Linked DNA regions of Nothobranchius furzeri. The protein of the gene in region 1 interacts with the protein of each later gene in a biochemical or structural test. Links are inferred from orthologs where the notes say so. Each region holds a gene or a part of one and is shown in the gene's direction. Other genes may lie near its edges. The genes, in order: gnao1b and rgs4.

Evidence for each region.
Region 2: the proteins of gnao1b (region 1) and rgs4 form a complex in vitro, tested with the Homo sapiens proteins (2 studies listed by BioGRID). The link is inferred for Nothobranchius furzeri from reciprocal best matches to the Homo sapiens genes GNAO1 and RGS4.

What each region holds. Positions count from the first base shown.
Region 1 is NC_091749.1:60,165,510-60,170,030, forward strand, and holds the start of gnao1b (guanine nucleotide binding protein (G protein), alpha activating activity polypeptide O, b), read left to right. Parts: upstream 1-1,667; 5' UTR 1,668-1,817; coding exon 1,818-1,935; intron 1,936-2,050; coding exon 2,051-2,093; intron 2,094-4,028; coding exon 4,029-4,170; intron 4,171-4,380; coding exon 4,381-4,521. UniProt on the Homo sapiens protein: Guanine nucleotide-binding proteins (G proteins) function as transducers downstream of G protein-coupled receptors (GPCRs) in numerous signaling cascades.
Region 2 is NC_091748.1:75,874,699-75,879,149, reverse strand, and holds the start of rgs4 (regulator of G-protein signaling 4), read left to right. Parts: upstream 1-1,487; 5' UTR 1,488-1,601; coding exon 1,602-1,645; intron 1,646-1,835; coding exon 1,836-1,940; intron 1,941-3,287; coding exon 3,288-3,352; intron 3,353-4,451. UniProt on the Homo sapiens protein: Inhibits signal transduction by increasing the GTPase activity of G protein alpha subunits thereby driving them into their inactive GDP-bound form. Activity on G(z)-alpha is inhibited by phosphorylation of the G-protein.

The sequences.
Region 1 (4,521 bases):
GAGCTTAACATTTAATGCATTAAGTGATTTTTTTTGCTTGAATCTGACTCAGTGTAGGAGAATATTTTATTTTTGCCAACAAAAAACAAATTTGAAAATGGCTGATGTTTTATATATATATAAATATATATATATATATATATATATATATATATATATATATATATATATATATATATATATATATATGCGCTATAGGCCTACTACTGAATTTTCTGCTTTTAATAAGTATTTGCATAAATTATATTTGATTTCCATGAAAAACTGTTAAGCAGTGAAATTAATTTTTAATTTAAAAGATCATAATTTATAGTGAAGTGCTGTTATTTCGCACAAGCATCAGGTGATCAATAATCTATTTTTAGTTTCTCACCCACCTTGTGTAGAATTTGCTATTCACCTTTAAAATCTGTAAAAATAAATTCACTAATGAGTATTTTAACGCATTTAACCCGGTTAACGTGCTATATTTTTGACGTAATTAAATGTTCACCTGGTGTTCCGTGACCACCACCGGGTGTTTTTCAGACCTACTTAATGTTGTTGACATGATTAAACGTCACCCAGGTCCTGGAGAACAAGAATAAGAGCGACGGTGGCCAAGTTGGGACATTTTAATTCATTACAAGAACACACCAGTAACACCAGGCAGGAGGGTAACATTTGCCATTTAGGAGTCTTTTCCATTTAAATCTTTCACCGGACGTGATTAGAGCTTGACAGCTCTGACGTAAACCAGATTGTTAGGTGAGTCTCGCGCGGCCATCCCTGTGTGGGAAGCAAATGTATCATAGAAACGTGAACTCAAAATAGTTAATTCTTGTGTGTGCGATTAAAACTATTGTAATGATTTCTCATTTATAATGTAAGTTTGATATTTTTTTTACATTTGGACAAAGTTTTTTTAGGAAGCATTTTTGTTGAAAATTTTATTTCCTTAATGTTTCTGATGCAAAATGACCAAATTTAGCTAATTTTAGCGGTAGGAATATTTGACTTACCGTTTGTATAAAACGTGTGAATTGGAATTTTTAGCAGAAATGTTAAATAAAATGTGTTTTCGTATTGTTTTACCATGTAGCCTAGATCTGTGTATAAAAGAAAGCCCACAACACTAGTGGGAAGCGTTCAATAATTTAAGAAGGAATGACTGACATATGTCAGATTTTCACTGAGCATAAAAACGGCCTTTTTAGAAACTTGCAATGTATATTTCCGCTAAAATAATTGAACAATCGATGCCTTACATATCCATCTTATGATTAAAACTCTTTTAAGCTCGCAATATATTTTAAATTCGATACGATGCCATGTGACCGATTACACACCAACCCACCTTAAATCAGAATTTTCAAAAATGTAATTTAAATCGACCTATTTCTGAACAGGAGACATGTAAAACGTTGTTGATTATATGCGGTAACAGCCTGCCATACCACCTCCTGCCAGCCTTCGTGAAAGTATACGGTGAAATCGCTCGTGCTCTCTGTCATCATCACCAGCGCCGCCCTGTAGAGAGATAGAGCTCGAGACCCCCCCGCTCTCCCCGCCTAACAACAACCCCAACCCTGCAGGCTAGCGCACAGCGACCCCACCCCCCCACCCCCCTCTGAGAGAGGGGACGGAACGGAGAGTGCACATTCACGGAGAGAAGACTGTTTCGGGATCCCGGCTCTATTTTCCGCTCCGAATCCGGGCCTATGCTGTAGCAGACAGCGCGGGAGGAGAGCGAGACTGAGAGACACCGCGGCGACCGAGAGCAGGAGAGGGACAGGGCGGACTGGGGACTCGACGGGACCGCTCATTCGCCTGGAAACATGGGGTGTACACTGAGCGCCGAGGAGCGCGCAGCTCTGGACCGGAGCAAGGCCATCGAGAAGAACCTGAAGGAGGACGGGCTGGTCGCCGCCAAGGACGTCAAACTGCTCCTGCTCGGTAAGGGAAGCGGCGGCGCGGCCGCGGGGCTGCTGCTGGGACTGCGTGGGGCGGAGGTGCTCTCCGTGGTACTGATTTCAATGCCTGCTCTCTCTCTGCCCTCCGTTCTTTGCAGGCGGCGGAGAATCCGGGAAAAGTACCATCGTCAAACAAATGAAGTAAGTGTCAGCCTGATTTGTTTATTTATTTATATCATATCGGTATTCTCCAACTCAGCCGGAGTGAAAGGCCTGAGATTGCGCCTCCCCTGTCAGCACTAAGGCAGGTTGAGCCGCCATGTTTCCGAGAGGCCGAAGCCCCGGAGGAGCACCGGTGACTCGAGCACCTCCTGCAGACCGTCAGCAGGGCTGCGGAGGCCGCCGGTGCGTCCCAGGGTGCTGTTCACTGCCGGGGTGCTGAAATGTAGTTAACGAAGGTTTTGCTTGACTACGGGGAGTGTGCCACTGGGGACGTGTGTGTGTCTGTGTCTGTGTGTGTGTGTGTGCAGTGTGTGTGCGCGCGTGCGTGTGTGAATTACAGTGAGGTCACTGCTGTTCCATTAGTGAATACCTCTGCTTTTAATCTTAATGGCTTTAAGTGCCTGATATCGCCGGGAGTACTTTGCCTATAAAGCGGATTTACGCAGAAATATGGCTCCTAAAACCGCATCTAAACCTTTTCGTGTCTGAGCTAAATGACTCTTTGGTGTTTTAAACGACTGCTTTTGTTTCATGTAAACCTCTTAGTCAAGTTTCTAGATGTTTCTGCACAAAAAACCAGAGCTCTTTCACATTTTGTCCCGTCAACCATGCAGCAGCTCTTTTGTGAGCAGCATCTGAGTGTCTCCTCCTTCCTGCTCTGCTCTGCACTCTGCATCGACTCACTGCACCCTCCCTTTTTCCTCTTCATTACCCTCCCAGAGCTCCCTGGTTGTCCATAACTTACTGCTCTGCTCCGAACCAAGATGCTGGTCCAAATAGTGTTTACAAATACTCTCCGGGCTTGCTTTAGCCACGGGCCAGCAGCAGATGGATGGGTTTTACTACATGCTCTGGGTCATAAAGTCTAGGTATCGGAGGGTTCATGCACTGGGCTTTGCTGTGATTCTTTGCCTCATCCTCATCACCATCATCTTCACATCCAGACGAGCTTCTCTGGTTTGGCCCATGAGCGAGACGGTGGAGTCATGTCCAAACTAACAGGGACGAGTTGACTTCAAGAACAATTTAAAGGGCGTTGTAGATTTTAATAATTACTCAAGTAGGCTGCTGTAGAAACATCAGCGGTTTATTTTTTAACTACTGCTGATAAGTTATTCTTTAAAACCAATAACAACAACAATAATAATAATAATAATAATAATAATAATTATTATTATTATTAGCATTTAGTCTTTCCAAATGTTCAAGTTGATAATATTCATCTGTTTGCTCCATAAAGCTTCAGCCTCAGCTCATCCCCACCCCCCCTCCCCTGAGGGTCAATTTATTGTATTTCATAAAACTGTTAATTGTGATGATGGTGCTGGAGATTCAGGCCAGGTGGCTGTAGTCGGCTGTGAAACATCTTTTCATAATGTGCCCTGATGAGATGAAAACAATCATCCCACATCTTTTCTTTTAACCCCACCCCTCCTTGCTGTACGGCGGTGAGAATGAAGTAGCTGTGGGAGTGGGCTTCTGGAGGATGTTTTATAGATCTGGTCAGGGTGAAGATGTGCCGCTGATGGATGCTTTAATGCTGTAAGAAGTTTAACAGTCCAGAGTTGTGGAGCCGTGATTGATCAGTGGTCTGATTGATTTCAGTTCATGAATTATAAATGACTGAAATATCACATTACTGCCCGGTTACACATCGCAGAGAGAGAATATGACCATTTCCCGTTAGGCTCATGCTTAGATGAGAGAAACATGGGGAGAGGATGAGAACAAACATAATAAAATAATCACTACACACACACACACACACACACACACGCAGGCCTACTGAGTTTCATAAAAACCTGGGGCTTTTATTGTAACAAGATAGCTGTTTTGTAACGCAGGAACATATGGACATTTGCAACTTTTTTCCTGCTCGGTCCAGGCTTTGATAATATCTCCGTACGCATGCAGGATTATCCATGAAGATGGCTTTTCTGGGGATGATGTGAAGCAGTATAAGCCAGTGGTCTACAGCAACACCATCCAGAGCTTGGCAGCCATCCTCCGAGCCATGGATTCCCTCGGGATTGAGTTTGGAGACAAGGACCGGAAAGTTAGTCTCACTCATATCCTACCAAGTTTTCTAAAGATTAGCTTTGCTTTTCCTAAAGATAAAAAAACATTTTCTGGGAATATTTGACCTGTGACAGTAAAGAAATGACTGCAAATCATCCCAGAAAGTCGTTTGAGCTGCTGGTAAATAATTAACAAGCAGACATTTTTTCTTCTGCTCCTCTGAACTTATGAAACATGTTTCATCCAGGCCGATGCCAAGCTGGTCTGTGATGTCGTCAGTCGTATGGAGGACACGGAGCCGTACTCCGCAGAGCTTCTCGCTGCTATGAAGCGTTTATGGGCCGACGCCGGGACTCAGGAGTGCTTCAACCGTGCCCGAGAATACCAG
Region 2 (4,451 bases), on another chromosome or scaffold:
AGCCCTGATCTCCCAGTCTCAGGGCGGTCACTCTACCACTAGGCCACTGAGAAAGGTTAAATACAAAAAAAACGAAATAAAACACACTATCTTGGACCGATACATGACAGGATACAACAGAACAGCGCTACGCCCTCTGTTGTCCTGCCGGGGAATTGCTTGGCTACACTCCCCAGGAGACAGAGAAGTATTAGAGCAAAACGCTTCCGTCAATCCATGCGTGTCTGTTCCTTGCGGAGCTGACGGAGAAGCATGAATCAGGCTTTAGAGTTGGACTTTCCCTCAGACCCCAGCCATTACTATTCCTCTAACCCGAACACTTCTTTAATACATTTGCAGTGGTCTCTAGGAATGCACGGTAAGTCGTTCTCTGGGAGAAAAAAAGCTCCGGTGCACCTGTTTGAGGATGTGGAGTTCAGCTGACAGAAAAAGTAGCTTCAGATGACAGGATTTGGAGTTTAGTCTTCTGAGATTTGGACATCTCTCCTCTGATTGGCTAACAGCAGCATAACTGTACCACTGACTCTGTTTGCTCTGCAACGCTGATGTTTCGTCTCCACAAGTAACACAAGCCTGGAGGACTTCCGCTGTGTGGTGGAGCTGCTAATGCTAACGGTTAGCTTCTACTAGCAGGGACGTTCTCTGCTGTTTCCTGGACGCTAAACCAACAGCAGCCTTCCCCGTCGAGAGTCAAGATGGGTGAGTCCATGAATGTTAAGTGACAGTGTGACGTAGATCTGTCGGGATTTTCTAATCCTAGAGTTTCACCGTCTGTCTTCTATCAGAAGCTAAAGCAACAGGCAGATGTAGGAGACTATTTTCATGTTAAAGTCTGCAGGAAAACTCAGAGCGATCCATTAGAATCAGAAACTGAAACCAGAACGTTTGCGTGACATTCGTGTGAGATTTGCCATTGTCTTTGTGTAACTGACGTTTTACCGTTTTGTTGTGGTTCCGCTCCTCTCCCCCGTCTCTGGCGCCTGGCCGCTTCTCTCTCCCTGCTATCAGCTGATATAAATGTGATTTCTGGACCAGGAAGCTCTTTTAAACTTCTCAAACCTTTGAATAAAACTCATCACCCAAACGTGGAATCAGGAAGTGTGAAACTCAAACACAGAGAAGGTGCTAATGACAAGTTCAACCCTGGAGAACTCCCACTGCTGTTCGCTCAGCCATCGAGGAAAACGCACGACAACGCTGCACGAAAAACCAGATGTTGGTGCAGATGCTGGGATTAAACTTGCTACCACATGACAGAGCTTTCTGTTGTCCTCCACACATGGTGGACTTCACAAGTTCCTCAAACGCCTGGACCACCTGAGTCAGAGGAAAACAGCTTTTGTTTAGGTTAAAGACAACCCCGTCTGCTGCATGTTTCCCCATATCCTCCCTCACTCTCTCCCCTCTCTTCCTGCCTCTCTCCCCCGTCTTTTGTGATTGGCCGGTTTGGTCTCCCCTGCGTTTTGCTGATGTAAATCTCTGCTGGGGAGGGGTGGAGATATGTGCAGCCTGCTTCTGATACTGAAGGACGCTGCTATAAAAACTCGGCTGCTCTTTGCTGACAAAAACCAGAGGCGGCTTTGGATTTTTAAGACTCCAACATGTGCAAAGGGCTTGCTACACTTCCTGCGACGTGCTTGAAAAGGTAAGCCTCTAGCAGTCTGAGCAACAGGTGGACACGGGTGATCAGAAGAGAAATAAACAAATCGTGTTTTCACATTTAGTCGGTGATCGTGCCCTAAATGGAAGATGTTAATTAGGAATTAATTGGCGTAAAGTAGATTTATTTAGTTGCAAACAAACTTTCAGCTTGTAAAAAACTGCTTTTCCAACAGCGCAAAGGACATCAAGCACAAAATAAGCTTCTTGCTGCAGAAGCCAGAGCCTCAAGCAGCCGATCAGAAAGAGATCAAGGAGAAAAGCGTCGCTGCTGCAAAGAGGTGAGAACACTCATTCATCTCTGAGTGGTGTATACTGAAACTCTAATTTCCCTCTGGGATTAATAAAGTATCTTTGATTTGAGTTGATCTTTGTTCAGATTCACACTTTCATCTCTGCGGTAAACGATCTGTCATTAAATCGGAGTTTTCTGGAAGATTTTCATGGATAAATATCCACGAAGGGGATGTGTTGGTTTTAGGTTCTGAACACTGGGCTAAATGACGTCATTGGATTCATTTTATTCTGGGTTAAACTGATTTCTTTATTTGGTTTTAAATGTTATTACAATAAAACAAGGTAAATGCTTTCTATAAAACCTTAAATTGAAACACCTGTAGACTTATTTATCTGAGCTGAAGCTTAAAACTGGACCGTTGGTGAAGATGAATCATTAAACATGGGATTTTTGACCCAATCGGACTTTTTTTTTCTCCATCTTAGAGAAAAATGAAGAGAACATCAGGAGTCTTCCTGCGTTAGATGGACTCAGACGTCCTTTCCACTGAGTGAAAAATCAATGATTTCCTGCCTAAGAGCACTCTGTGTCTCTCTCACTCGTGTAATTGTTTTGTGCCAACTGATTATTATGATTATTGGCTGCAGACTTAAATTTAAAGGTAGTATCTTTGCGGAGGAGCAGGTTTTGTTTGGACTCGGATCCGCCCACAGGTCGTGTTCCCACAGGAAGCCAGTCCTCTATGAGAAGGTGATGGCACTGACCTTCAACACTCAGATTAGGTATAATTCATCCGGCCACCGCCACAGCTGATCGATACCCTGCTCATGCTGTCATGTATGCATATACAGACGAGCGTTTTCATGTGACGGCTGTCGGGGAATCTTTAAGGAAGTTTCATTAACGTTTTAAAGGTCGGATGACACACACCGATGTAATCAGAGATGTCAACACCGATCAGAGAGACGGTGCAGGCGGGTTCAGGCTTTTTCCACCGTGTTTTTAGCTGCTTTTATGTTGGTTTGCAGGGAAAAAATCCCCGTCATGTGAAAATCTCCATATCAGAGAACGCTTCGTGCAGGAATTACATTCTGCAAAAGATTAGAACATTTAAATTAGCAACAGAATGTGAAGGTTTTACACAAAAAAGTACATTTTTCACATAACCCTCCCACTGTCTTTACGGGTGACCCCGTGAGGAAAGTTGACCATCGAGCAGGATTGATGGTTTATCCCTTGAGGTCCACGTGGTGGGCTCACTCCTCACCCCTGCCACGTGGACCCAAGGGATAAACCATCAACCCTGCTCAGTGGCACACTTTCCTGGCGGGGTCACACCCATTGGTACAGTGGGAGGGTTTAAAAAAAGCATCTTTTCCGTTTGCTTTAGGGTTCCTGATGCAGCTGAGGTGGAGAAATGGAAGGAATCTTTCAGCCACGTGATGAGCAGTGACGGTAAGTGAGATGTTTTTTCAGCTAAAGGTTTCAGTCTGGCTCAGACCGCAGGGGTTTTGTCTGATCTTAATTAGAACGTCACCGACTCATCAGTTCGCAGAAATGCAGAAGGTCTCTGCGGGTTTATAATAGTGGGAAAGATTAATCTTCTCACGTGATGTTGGGATCCTGCAGTCCTGGGAGGCTGTTCAACTCTGATAGACCTTGTTTATGTTTACAGTAGCTAATAAAGTTTATAATATCAACAGTGGTGCTCTCCCGTTCATATTTTGAAGGTGTAGCCCTTAAAACAATGTTAGTTCTCAGTGAGCCGCATCCTCGCCCCGCTGCGATGAGGAAACTTGGGGTTTTGTTATCAGAGGGAAGTGGGGGAGGCTTGGATATGGCGCACAAACATGCAAATTGAGCACAAACACACTCAGACACTCCTCAGCTAATTTCTCATGCTCCAGTTTGTAGCTACGTGTCACGCGGCACAGCGGAGAGAACCCTCAGGGTGCTCTGACCAGTGCAGAGTCACTGGTGTCTGTGTGCTTCTGCTCCAACTCCTCTGAGAATCTCTTGAGTGTGTCGATTAAAGCCGTGGAGCAACGGCCTTGCGGGAACGACCCGCTGCGTTCCATGACCTCCTCCGCTGACCTCCAGCATCGTCATTTCTTCCTTCTGCCTGGGTCCGTCAGCCTCCATCGCTCCAATCTCCTGTTGTTTACCGTTCTGTGACCTGAACTGTTTCCACAATCTATCATCTTAGTCACGCTGGACTTTGGAGCGTGCTCTGTTTTGTTTTATACCACTTCTGTCGAGGCTCGGCCCTGGTTCGTTCTCTATCCACGACGAGCCTCTGAATGCAGCTGAATTAACACAGAAGCAAACAATCACGTTATTTAAAAATGCTTTGGACTCCTTTGTCTTCCAGTCGGAGCCGATTCAAAATTTAAAATGATTTGAGATTTGAATGGCATCAGAATTAGTAGCTTTTATGGAAAATATGAAATCATATTTTTGAACTTAATTCATTCAACCAAGTCTTCCATTTTTGGGTATTTTTAATATTTGAAGCATTATTTACTATGTCAGACATTTATTTCCTTTCCTGAGC